Arabidopsis thaliana: one gene and its partner. The protein of the gene in region 1 interacts with the protein of each later gene in a pairwise test. Each region holds a gene or a part of one and is shown on either strand. Other genes may lie near its edges.

The links. The genes of interacting proteins can lie anywhere in the genome.
Region 2: the proteins of ABCI18 (region 1) and SUA interact in a two-hybrid assay, tested with the Arabidopsis thaliana proteins (one large-scale study listed by BioGRID).

Annotation. Positions count from the first base shown.
Region 1 is NC_003070.9:989,129-993,672, forward strand, and holds ABCI18 (non-intrinsic ABC protein 4), read left to right. Parts: upstream 1-1,977; 5' UTR 1,978-2,123; coding exon 2,124-2,618; intron 2,619-3,314; coding exon 3,315-3,563; intron 3,564-3,649; coding exon 3,650-3,724; 3' UTR 3,725-3,998; downstream 3,999-4,544. Other genes in the region: AT1G03890 (RmlC-like cupins superfamily protein), read left to right, coding at 122-422, 525-790, 921-1,331, 1,403-1,780; ABCI19 (P-loop containing nucleoside triphosphate hydrolases superfamily protein), read left to right, coding at 4,350-4,503.
Region 2 is NC_003074.8:20,071,200-20,079,130, forward strand, and holds the start of SUA (suppressor of abi3-5), read left to right. Parts: upstream 1-1,902; 5' UTR 1,903-2,106; exon of another isoform or gene 2,107-2,203; 5' UTR 2,204-2,272; intron 2,273-2,599; 5' UTR 2,600-2,672; coding exon 2,673-2,720; exon of another isoform or gene 2,721-2,904; coding exon 2,905-2,945; intron 2,946-3,146; coding exon 3,147-3,861; exon of another isoform or gene 3,862-3,951; coding exon 3,952-4,023; intron 4,024-4,110; coding exon 4,111-4,203; intron 4,204-4,293; coding exon 4,294-4,373; intron 4,374-4,520; coding exon 4,521-4,674; intron 4,675-5,392; coding exon 5,393-5,477; intron 5,478-5,618; coding exon 5,619-5,710; intron 5,711-5,802; coding exon 5,803-5,871; intron 5,872-6,430; coding exon 6,431-6,610; intron 6,611-6,765; coding exon 6,766-6,958; intron 6,959-7,568; coding exon 7,569-7,931. Other genes in the region: SCR (GRAS family transcription factor), read left to right, coding at 1-882, 997-1,426. UniProt on the Arabidopsis thaliana protein: Splicing factor that controls alternative splicing of the developmental regulator ABI3. Reduces splicing of a cryptic intron in ABI3, leading to a decreased in ABI3-beta transcript. Regulates the splicing of the receptor-like kinase SNC4/LRKL-2.6.

The DNA of each region.
Region 1 (4,544 bases):
ATACATATTTTCATTTGTATGCAACCAGAATAAAACACTAACTATCTCCTTTAAATACCATTTTCCCTACGAGTCTACGACGCTCTCTAAACTTCTTATACAAAACAAAACACACCCAAATATGCATAAGCTTTTGTTTTCTCTTCTCTCCGTCGTCTCACTCTCATTTCTCCTCTTCTTCCATGGCGCCGAGGCACGCCAGCGAGAGGCGCCGTTTCCAAACGCCTGCCATTTCAGCCAAATCAACAGCCTCGCGCCCGCTCAGGCGACGAAGTTCGAAGCCGGTCAGATGGAAGTATGGGACCACATGAGCCCTGAGCTCCGATGCGCCGGTGTAACGGTGGCTCGCATCACCCTTCAGCCCAATTCCATTTTCTTGCCCGCTTTCTTTAGCCCACCTGCCCTTGCTTACGTTGTCCAAGGTAAGAAAATAAATAAATACGCTTTTTGATCAAGACCTAATTAAAAACTCGCAACCTATAGAAAATCTAAAAAAAGTGGTCTTTTATTTTAATTGTTTTCAGGAGAAGGAGTTATGGGGACGATTGCTTCTGGTTGTCCTGAGACTTTTGCAGAAGTTGAAGGATCATCAGGAAGAGGAGGAGGAGGAGACCCGGGTCGACGTTTTGAGGACATGCACCAGAAGTTGGAGAATTTCCGGCGAGGGGATGTGTTTGCTTCGCTTGCCGGAGTTTCACAGTGGTGGTACAACCGCGGTGATTCCGATGCCGTCATTGTCATTGTTCTTGATGTCACCAACAGAGAAAACCAGCTTGACCAAGTCCCTAGGGTAATCATCAAATTCAAGAAAGTCCAAATTTGTACTGCATGCAAACTATATGACTACCACTCAGTGATTAAAATAGTGATTCATATATATAACACATAATGTCATTTTTTTGTGAACCCTTCATATGTAGATGTTCCAACTAGCCGGGAGCAGAACGCAAGAAGAAGAACAACCATTAACGTGGCCATCAGGCAACAACGCTTTCAGCGGTTTCGACCCAAACATAATCGCGGAAGCATTCAAAATCAACATCGAGACAGCTAAGCAACTACAAAACCAGAAGGACAACAGAGGAAACATAATCCGAGCAAATGGTCCTCTCCATTTCGTCATCCCACCGCCTCGTGAATGGCAGCAAGATGGCATTGCTAATGGCATCGAAGAGACTTATTGCACGGCTAAGATTCATGAGAATATCGATGATCCAGAACGGTCTGACCATTTTAGCACACGAGCCGGAAGAATCAGCACTCTTAACAGCCTTAATCTCCCTGTTCTACGTCTAGTCAGACTTAACGCCCTTAGAGGTTATCTCTACAGCGTAAGTATCCCACTTTTAAATTAGATTTACAAATTCTTTATGTGCTATATAATGAATTCTCGTGGAGATAGGGAGGAATGGTGTTGCCACAATGGACGGCAAACGCGCACACGGTGCTATACGTCACAGGAGGTCAAGCCAAGATACAAGTGGTGGACGACAATGGTCAGTCGGTGTTCAATGAGCAAGTGGGACAAGGCCAAATCATTGTGATTCCACAAGGCTTTGCAGTTTCAAAAACGGCTGGTGAAACGGGTTTCGAGTGGATATCATTCAAGACAAACGATAACGCTTACATTAACACACTGAGCGGCCAAACATCGTACTTGAGAGCAGTTCCAGTGGATGTGATCAAAGCGTCATATGGAGTGAACGAGGAAGAAGCCAAGAGGATCAAGTTTAGTCAGCAAGAGACCATGTTGTCTATGACACCAAGCTCTTCTTCTTAAGCTCTTTAATTGCTTCCTTTAATGTTTTTTTAGATTTTCCAGTCACTGAAATAAATAAAGATGAGACTAATAACCAACTTTTCACAAAGCTTCAATAACAAAATTTCAGATTAAAAATTCCTACTAACATACACATCTTAGCTTTTATGATTACGTTGATTTTATTTTGTTAAATTTGATTACGTTGATTAGTGTATATATTAAATTAAAATCATTGAAAGGATAATGATAACACTAATAAAAAAAAGAAGAAGAAGGTTACGGTCTCGTAAAGCTTTCAAAAGTCCGCAACGATCACACACGTCTTTCTCCGAAACTCGTCTGAGAGAGGCTCTGAGATTCGATGTCGTTCGAGGAAGAAGAAGAGGAGGAAACATTCGAGCATACACTTCTCGTGGTGCGTGAGGTCTCCGTTTACAAGATCCCGCCGCGAACCACATCCGGCGGATACAAGTGCGGCGAATGGCTTCAATCCGATAAGATCTGGTCTGGTAGACTCCGCGTCGTATCGTGCAAGGATCGATGCGAGATCCGCCTCGAGGATTCGAATTCCGGTGATCTTTTCGCAGCTTGTTTTGTGGATCCTGGACGTAGAGAGAACTCTGTAGAGCCGTCTCTCGATTCGTCTAGGTATTTCGTTCTCAGGATCGATGACGGGAGAGGGAAGTATGCGTTTATCGGGCTAGGATTCGCTGAGAGGAACGAAGCGTTTGATTTCAATGTTGCGTTATCGGATCATGAAAAGTACGTTAGGAGGGAGAAAGAGAAGGAGACAGGGGAAACGAGTGAGAGCGATAATCATATTGATATCCATCCTGCCGTTAATCACAGATTGAAGGTAAACTGATCTGTTCATAAGCTAGCTTTTGGAATTAAGATAGGATCAATGCGGAATCTGATAATTTGGAGAAATCTGATTGAAGCTTTCAGATCTATTTTGGAAAAACAACTATCGAATCCAATGTGGAATTGATTGATTCAGATACGTTTTGTAGTATCATTCTCATTGCAAAGTTCTTATCTTGCTAGTAGGCTATAGCTAAAAGTTGCTTGGTCTTGGTGTTTGTATCAGTGATGAGAATATTTTGGATGCATTATCTGCTGAGATTGATTAGCTATTCGTTATTTGGATTTTCTAATTTCCTTTATTTGTAGTGTTATTTGGTGGAAGATCTTTGTAGTTTGTATGCTCTGTGTAGATATTAGGATGAGTAAATAGTACCAGCCTTAATTTTTCTCGATCTTGTGTTGTGTTCATCATCTCTAATCTTAAATTGATGCTGCTATATGTCTTGATTTTGCTCTTTTAGTCTTCACAGATGGTTCATAATCACAAGTTTTGTTTTAGCATCCACTCGTAGTTGCAGAACATACTCATTTGATTTTGTTTACTCAATATCTTTCTCTGGGAACCGTAACTGTAGAATCAATATTTCAATTCTGATTGAACTCCATCATTTATCCGGAAAAGGAAAATTCTTGGCATTTGGACTTGGTAGAACCTGAAAAGATTGTTGTTTTGATGGGTTTTAAGGAAGGTGAAACCATAAGAATCAACGTGAAGCCGAAACCAACAACAAATGGCACTGGGATGCTCTCAGCTGCTCTTTCAGGAACGGGGAAGCCAAAACCTCTAGCACTTGCCCCACCCCCCAAAGCTGCCGGAGTAACCAGGTCTCCTTTACCTCCTCCTCCAAACGATCCCGTCGCTTCAAGGATTGCATCTGATGGCTGCAAGGAATCACGCAGGAACGAGCCTCTATCTGATCTATCTCAGCTCAAGGTAAATAAACCTTGTCTTCTTAATTACATTTATTCTTATTCTCTAAGGTTACTCTAAATTATCCTTGATTTGGTAATACTCGGCAGAAAAATCTTCCTTCAACGGCGGGATCAGGATCGAGCAAGTCAACAGGAGCTGCATCAGGTTGGGCAGCTTTCTGATGAATGGAGTGTAAAATTTAAGTTATTGGACAAGTCCGGCTTCATCTTCTTGTGACTTGAGAGCACGAGACAATAGACAACAATGGTGGTCAGCCAACAGTCTTTTTGATGTATGTTAATGGTAAGTTGATGTGTGTTTCTTTGTAATCCTCCCACACTCCCTGTTTTAATTATTTTTCTTCCTTATAATCATCGTTGTTACATTATCGATTATCATTTGTATCACTGAGATATTAATATATACAAAAAGGCTTTTTCATAATTTCAACTTTTGCTTCTACGTAAAACTAAAATGCTAAATCTGTTTGCTATTGCATGACTAAGCAAATAAATGTACAAGAAAATATTACAAAAAAAAAAAAAAAAACATTTTGTACTCCCTTATACGCTGTCGTTTGGTTGACGATGCGTGATGACCAGCACACTGACGTGGCGACGTGCAAAGAGATACAATCGTTATATCACTGACGTGGCGAAAAGGTACTGGTATGACGTGGATTTAGCGTTGAACGAAACATATTTAAAGGACTGCATATTTGACCAAAGTAAACAATGTCGGTCCACCAACTAATCGTTACCTACTCCTTGTATCTGACCGCTTGAGAGCTTTTGGAGACTGGCAAAAATGGCGGAGAAAGATGCGACGGCGAGTGGCGATGACGCCATTAGAGTTAGCGGTATGCAATTCGCATACGAAGTTGAGGATCCAATATTCTTCGACTTCAACCTCGATCTTCCAGCTGGTTCTCGCTGTCTTCTGGTTGGTGCCAATGGATCTGGTACGATGATCGATTTCTAGAGAGAGATTTTCCTTGTAGTT
Region 2 (7,931 bases), on another chromosome or scaffold:
ACAACAGCAACAGCAGCACCAACAACAACAACAACAGCATAAGCCTCCTCCTCCTCCGATTCAGCAGCAAGAAAGAGAAAATTCTTCTACCGATGCACCACCGCAACCAGAGACAGTGACGGCCACTGTTCCCGCCGTCCAAACAAATACGGCGGAGGCTTTAAGAGAGAGGAAGGAAGAGATTAAGAGGCAGAAGCAAGACGAAGAAGGATTACACCTTCTCACATTGCTGCTACAGTGTGCTGAAGCTGTCTCTGCTGATAATCTCGAAGAAGCAAACAAGCTTCTTCTTGAGATCTCTCAGTTATCAACTCCTTACGGGACCTCAGCGCAGAGAGTAGCTGCTTACTTCTCGGAAGCTATGTCAGCGAGATTACTCAACTCGTGTCTCGGAATTTACGCGGCTTTGCCTTCACGGTGGATGCCTCAAACGCATAGCTTGAAAATGGTCTCTGCGTTTCAGGTCTTTAATGGGATAAGCCCTTTAGTGAAATTCTCACACTTTACAGCGAATCAGGCGATTCAAGAAGCATTTGAGAAAGAAGACAGTGTACACATCATTGACTTGGACATCATGCAGGGACTTCAATGGCCTGGTTTATTCCACATTCTTGCTTCTAGACCTGGAGGACCTCCACACGTGCGACTCACGGGACTTGGTACTTCCATGGAAGCTCTTCAGGCTACAGGGAAACGTCTTTCGGATTTCGCAGATAAGCTTGGCCTGCCTTTTGAGTTCTGCCCTTTAGCTGAGAAAGTTGGAAACTTGGACACTGAGAGACTCAATGTGAGGAAAAGGGAAGCTGTGGCTGTTCACTGGCTTCAACATTCTCTTTATGATGTCACTGGCTCTGATGCACACACTCTCTGGTTACTCCAAAGGTAAAATAAACATTACCTTTTAATCACTCTTTATCTATAAATTATTTTAAGATTATATAGGAAAGATATGTTCTAAAAAGTGGCTTTTTTGGTTAATGATTGGGGAATGAACAGATTAGCTCCTAAAGTTGTGACAGTAGTGGAACAAGATTTGAGCCACGCTGGTTCTTTCTTAGGAAGATTTGTAGAAGCAATACATTACTACTCTGCACTCTTTGACTCACTGGGAGCAAGCTACGGCGAAGAGAGTGAAGAGAGACATGTCGTGGAACAGCAGCTATTATCGAAAGAGATACGGAATGTATTAGCGGTTGGAGGACCATCGAGAAGCGGTGAAGTGAAGTTTGAGAGCTGGAGGGAGAAAATGCAACAATGTGGGTTTAAAGGTATATCTTTAGCTGGAAATGCAGCTACACAAGCGACTCTACTGTTGGGAATGTTTCCTTCGGATGGTTACACTTTGGTTGATGATAATGGTACACTTAAGCTTGGATGGAAAGATCTTTCGTTACTCACTGCTTCAGCTTGGACGCCTCGTTCTTAGTTTTCTTCTCCTTTTTCACAAACAATGTGCCCATAAATAGATTTACCTGTTTTTTTTTTGTTATGTATCAAAAAGAGAGGATTTTTTGAAGTCAAATTGTTCTCACTCACACTCTGTATTGGCTACCTGATTGGTGGAATACATAGAAGTTAATCATGAAGATTAGAACACTTGATATTGAAGAAAACACTTGAAAATGGTACATCAATAATAAAAATGATAACACGTTTAACTGAAAAATCATTTACAAATACACAATTCTTTTGAAGGCTACCATTTTTTTTTTTGGGAATTGTTATGTATTTTTTTTTTAGCAACTTGAATTGTTTTGGTTTACTTTTTTCCAAAAAAAAAATATATACATGTTGTTTTTTATTTTTGTTATGGCAAAGAAATTGAGATGTTTGGATTTTTCAATTAAAAAAAAAAAAACTCATCTACGCCTTTTCATATTTCGCTTGAACAACAACGAAACCCTAATCTGGTTAAAGTTGGATTCGGCCAAGTCCACCACCGTGGAGCTCTGAATTCATTTCTCTTGTAATTCATCGATCGCTGTTGAATATTTTCAATTTGAGTTCCCACGGTAGAAACCATTCCGATTTATACGGCTACTTCATCGCTCGAGCTCTCTCGTTTCTGTATCGATCGCAGCGTATCTGATTTGTCACCGGTTTCAGGCTTGTTTCTCTGACCTCTGGTTATCGGCTCCCTGATTTTGCGCTCTATCTATTAATCAATCTCTTATTCCAAGTCTTTGTTCCGCTGTTATCACAGCTCATCTTCATCTTCCATTCACTGGTGTCTTTGGTCCGGCGTCGTTGTGCTGCTTTCAGTTCATCACAGGTATTCTCATTTTTACCTGTTTCTTTTTTATTGAGGATTTCGTGGATGTGACCAGTTCAAGTTTTTTGTATGTTACTTTGTATAGCTTTTAAGACTCGATTACTGAGAATTTAGGCCTAATCGTCAGCTGAAAATATAATGATCTCTACTGTTGTATGCATTCTTCTCGTGCTTTTGTTACTTCATCGCCAATGCATGTTTTTCTACTCTGAGAGTGAGAGAATCTCTAGCTAGTTCCTACAAAGTCTCTTTGTGATCAGTGTTGGGAATTCTTAATTATATATGCATTAAGATATACCTGTCTCAGACTCTATACGTGATTTTCAGGAAAGAGCTTTAAATATTAAGCTTTGAATATTCTCTCAGACCATCAAAGATTTGCTTGGTGCACTGGCCGGAAATGGATCCTAGTCGATATGGTCGTCAGCAAGAATGGGATAATAACAGTGTAATTGTGGTTTTCTCCTTACATATATGGGATGATAAACAAGATATTTTTAGGGATGTTATGAATCTCAACTCATCCGTGGAGTGAGAGACTTGGGAGAGTGAGGATGTGGATGGGATTTGGCTAATGTAATATCCGTCAATGATGTTTGTTGCTGACATAGCTTATTCTCTTCAATTCACAGGCTCCGGAGGGTTATGGTACTCAGCATGATCCAAATCATCGGTGAGTGCTAGTAAAATGGATTACATTGATGTAGTTGTTAATTTGTTATTGCTCATGGGGGTATATTTATTTTAGCTACTGTAACTAAATTGTATTTCTTGTACTTTATTTGGTTTGGTTACTTGTGCCGAAATATTCATGATAGTTCATATTTCATTTTTTTAATATCTTTTCTGTACCTATACTACATTGCTCTTACAGGTTTGGCGTATCATATGATGACGGATATCCTGATGAAAGGTTGATGCGGGATGATGTCTACAACTATCCACCTGGACATAATACTCTGGGTGACTTGCCTCAATCTAGAAAGCGAAACTATGAAGAAAATTATCCCAGTGAACTTCGCAGGCAAGAAAAGCCTTACATCGATTCAAATTATGCTGCTGACTATTATCATGATAGTGAAGCTGGGAGTCGTAATGGACATTACCGTGATCATGAACACGAAAGGTCGTCCAGATATGATGGCTGCGATGACTATTCTTGTAATGATAACAACTATAGATCGAAAAATTACCATCATAGCAGAGATGATGGTCGTGAAAAAGATTATGATTATACTCGCCGAAGTTATGATTCTGAGTATGAAAGGGCCAGTGTGAGAGATGGCAGTCGAAAGAGCCGTGATCCGCAGGACAGAGAACGGAATTCTCGAGATAGAGAATGGGATTCACGTGATAGGGAGTGGGACAAAAGATGTTACAGCCGCGAAAGAGATGAGAGTCCTCATAAGAGATATGAGAAGTCACGATCTCGATCTACCGGACGTGGGGAGTTCTCTAGATCAAGATCTCCTAGAGGTCGGAGCCATGGGCGGAGTTACCGGGAGGACAGCTATGAGGGGGATCACTGGAATGAAAGTGAGAGGCGAAGAGAATATGAAGATAGACATAACCAGGATCATTTTTCTGCTGTATAAAATATTCTCTCATCCCTGGTCTATATTCTTTTGTTGCGAAGACATTTAAAAAATCCGTTCCTATATTTTTATGGTTTTTGCTAGACCCCATCCGCCACTGTTGTTGTGAAGGGTCTCTCTATGAAATCAACAGAAGAAGATCTATACCAGATTCTGGTAAACTCTTCATTTTTTTGAATCTGTATGTCCTCAGGTTTAAACAATTTTTCATGCATGACTTCATTATTCCCATGTGCATGCTAGGCTGAATGGGGTCCTTTGCATCATGTTCGTGTTATTCGGGAGCAAAATTCTGGGATTTCTCGTGGATTTGCTTTTATTGATTTCCCCACGGTGGTATTTGCTTTCAACTAATCTGTTAATTCCTTGCGCTTTTTCTTGTGATTTCTTCAACACTGTGTGCATTTATGTATTTTGTCTGAGCAGGATGCCGCACGCACCATGATGGATAGAATTGAGCATGATGGTATAGTTTTGGATGGAAGGAAACTTATGTTCCATTACAGGTCTTTTTTTAAATAAACATAAGACTTTGATTGATTTAGATATTACCTATGGAGGGATCATAGAATTACTACACATTTAAATTATTGTTTCTTGACCGTTTCAGTATCAGAGTATAACATTCTTACACTAAATTGCGTGTGTTGTAGCAGCCAACCTACTGGTAGGGCTGGTGTGTCCCGTAGGCAGGAACATGCTTCTAGACGCAGTTATGGTGGAAGTCGAAACATGATAGTTCCCACAGATTGGATCTGTACAATCTGTGGCTGTATCAATTTTGCGCGGCGAACCTCTTGCTTTCAGGTTGGTGCATTGTTTTGGATGAAAGTTCTGTAAATTTCATTGTCAGGACTAGAGTATAAACCCATCTGTTAAGAACAGAAATTACATATATTTAATTACCGGAAGAACTACTCATTGTTTGGTGATTCTAGAGTCTCAAACAAAGTGATAACTACTCATGATTTGGTGACGACAATACCTTAAAAAAAATAGAACCGATAAAACTTTCAGAATATATCTGTTTTTTGCTCCTTAGAGATTATTTGCAGTTCCTTTTGGTGACGAATATGTATCATCAATTGACACTTTGTTTGAGACTAGGGTGGCATACATATTTTGGTAGTAATGGTAAATGAACATTTTAATTTAATGTCGACACATTGATGTCCATACCTATGCTAGAATGTATTTGTTTGCATATACAATAGTTTGTTTGGAAATAGAGAAATTTCCATTTTTCAAATGTCAATAAAAAAAGAAGTCAACTAAAACCCTTTAACTGATCTTTTTTGATGGGTTTTTAATTTATCTTTCCTTCTATTTACTTAAACTCTGTGAAGTCTTTATCAATAGTTTAATCTTGTGGTGGACAATTGTATCTGTAGCCCTTCTTTGCCATGCCGCTGTCTGTGTCTTGATTTATGATAGAACACTCAAAAGTCCTAAGTTCAGTTATAATATGGAATAACAAATTTGTGGCCATTGCATAAATGTCTGTGATCTCTGTCTCCTTATGCAGTGTAATGAACCAAAGACCAAGGATTCTCCTTCAGCGGATGTAGGTTTATCAAACTCTGCAGCAGGAAAACGAATTTCTGAGACAGGTTCTGATCAGCATTTTTATTTAAGATGTTTTAAATTTCTTTCTTGAGTCAGAAACAGTCGCAACTGTTAAGGCCATAGTCTTTGTACTTTTCTACATGCCATATATACCTAAGATACATTCTGCTTATTTTCTTTTCCAGGTCCAACTCATGTCCTGGTTGTACGTGGGTTGGATGAAGATGCTGATGAGGAAATGCTTCGGTATGAATTTTCCAAACATGCTCCTATCAAGGTTAACAAAAACCCTTTTGGATTCGTTGTCTATTAAGATATTGTACTTTATATGTCAGTTGACCTGGTTTTCCTCTTTCCGCCATTTTGTAGGATCTTCGTCTTGTGAGAGACAAATTCACTCATGTTTCACGAGGATTTGCATTCGTGCATTTCTATTCGGTAGGGTCTCAAAGCCAAGTTGGTTGTTGAACTTACTCCTTAAACTCTCTCTTCTGCTTCGCTTTTCCCTTACTGATGATTTAAATTGCAAGTGTGCCTTTTGATCAAAGATTTATTCGATTGTGTAGAAATTAGAAACCCAGTCTAGATGATCAGTACCACCTGGTTTTTATTCTGCTTGTGAAGAGTGATTATGTTTTATAGTTTTTTTTTTTTATAAATGTTTAAGTGTCTCTTTAGTAATCATGATCTACTAGTTTTGTGGGTATTTTTGGCAATGTTTGGTGGTGAGCGCACTCAATCATTTATTTTGTCGTACTTTTTTATAATCTACATTCGACAACCACCTTTTGCATTGACTTGTAAAAGCTCTTGTAGTAGATTATTTATTTCGTCACTGATTCTCTTACCAATTTCATATCTGAACGGTGATCAGATTTTGTAGTAGAACTGCTTGATATGTCCAAATATCTATTTTCCCCCAGTTTATGTGTGTATTTGACTTTTTTTTAATCCACCTACCAACTTGAAACAGAAGATTATGATTATGTTCGTGTAGGTTGAGGATGCTACTAAGGCACTTGAAGCAACAAACAGAACAGCTCTTGAAAGGAATGGTAAAATTCTTAGAGTTGCGTATGCAAAGAGTGTTCATGGTTCTGGAACTGGTATATCAGCACCCTCGCACTCCAACAACCTCGCTGCTGCTGCAATTGAAGCAGCAACGTTTTCTCAACAGGTACTTGAAGATTGTTTTGATCCAGTTTCCCTCGTTTGTATTGGTGATCACACATTGATCATTTAATTAAATTTTCCAGTATCTTTAGATGAGGATTGTCATTCTTATGATTCTTCTACTCCATGTGCCCTGACACTCATGTTGGTCCTTATTAGTATGACGGTGTTGGATGGGCTCCAAAGGAATACAATACTGGTGAGAAACAAAACACTGGAGGGCAGGCCCAGGGTGTTGGGGAAATTGAATCCCAGAAAGGGACTTCTGCTCCACAGTCTGGCTATGTGTGGGATGAAGCATCTGGTTATTACTATGATGCGGCTTCTGGATACTACTACGATGGAAATTCAGGTCGGCATTTACTTATATTGTTATTTATTTCTTTGAATTGATTGTATGGTTGGGTAGCTGCAGCTCTAATTCCCATATCTGGCATTGCAAAACATGTAATGGGCAAAAGTAAGATTGATCCTGTTGGCTGGTTGTATAGTCCTGCTATAGATGTATTCTATTATAGGATAACTTCTTGGCAAAAATAAGTCGTCAGCTCTGGTTTGTTCAAACTATCCTGTTCTTTTTTATGATTGTGGAATTCTTATACTATGTATGCACCAAACTAGCAAACATCGAGATACAATCAATCAATCATACAAGTGTATGTCTTAATTAGACTTTTAAATAATGGCTGTAGGGATTCAGCAAGTGTTATATGATTACTATTATGGCTGCTGTTGGACTTCCAATGGAAGTTTTTTCTTTTAGTTATTGCTGAGTTATGCCTTCTTATATATGTGTATGTGCCTTAAAATTTCGCATCTGATATGGCACAATGATAGACTGTTTTAATGATCTTGGTTATCACTAGGCACCTCTTCTTGGTGTGTGGTGATGGGAAACTTGGTTTCACTGGTATAAGAAGTGGGTAATATTCTCTATTAATCGTATGTTTCTAAATATACAGGTCTCTATTATGACAGCAATAGTGGGCTTTGGTACTCGTATGACCAGCAAACACAACAATATGTTCCTTGTCCTGATCAGAACAATGAGAGTAAAGTAACAGAAAACCAACCAGACTCTGCCAAGAAGGAGAAATCCAGTCAACAAAAGGTTATTATCTCGGCGGCTACTACCCCTAATGTAGAAAAAGTTCTGTCCTTACCAGATGCGGTTCAGGCGGCTGCTGCAGCAGCAATTGCATCAGAGAAGAGAGAGAAAGAGAGAGTGAAAGAGATAAAACTTGCATCAAAGACTAGCCTACTCGCCAGCAAGAAAAAAATGAGTAACGTTTTAACAATGTGGAAGCAGCGGAGCCATGAAACCC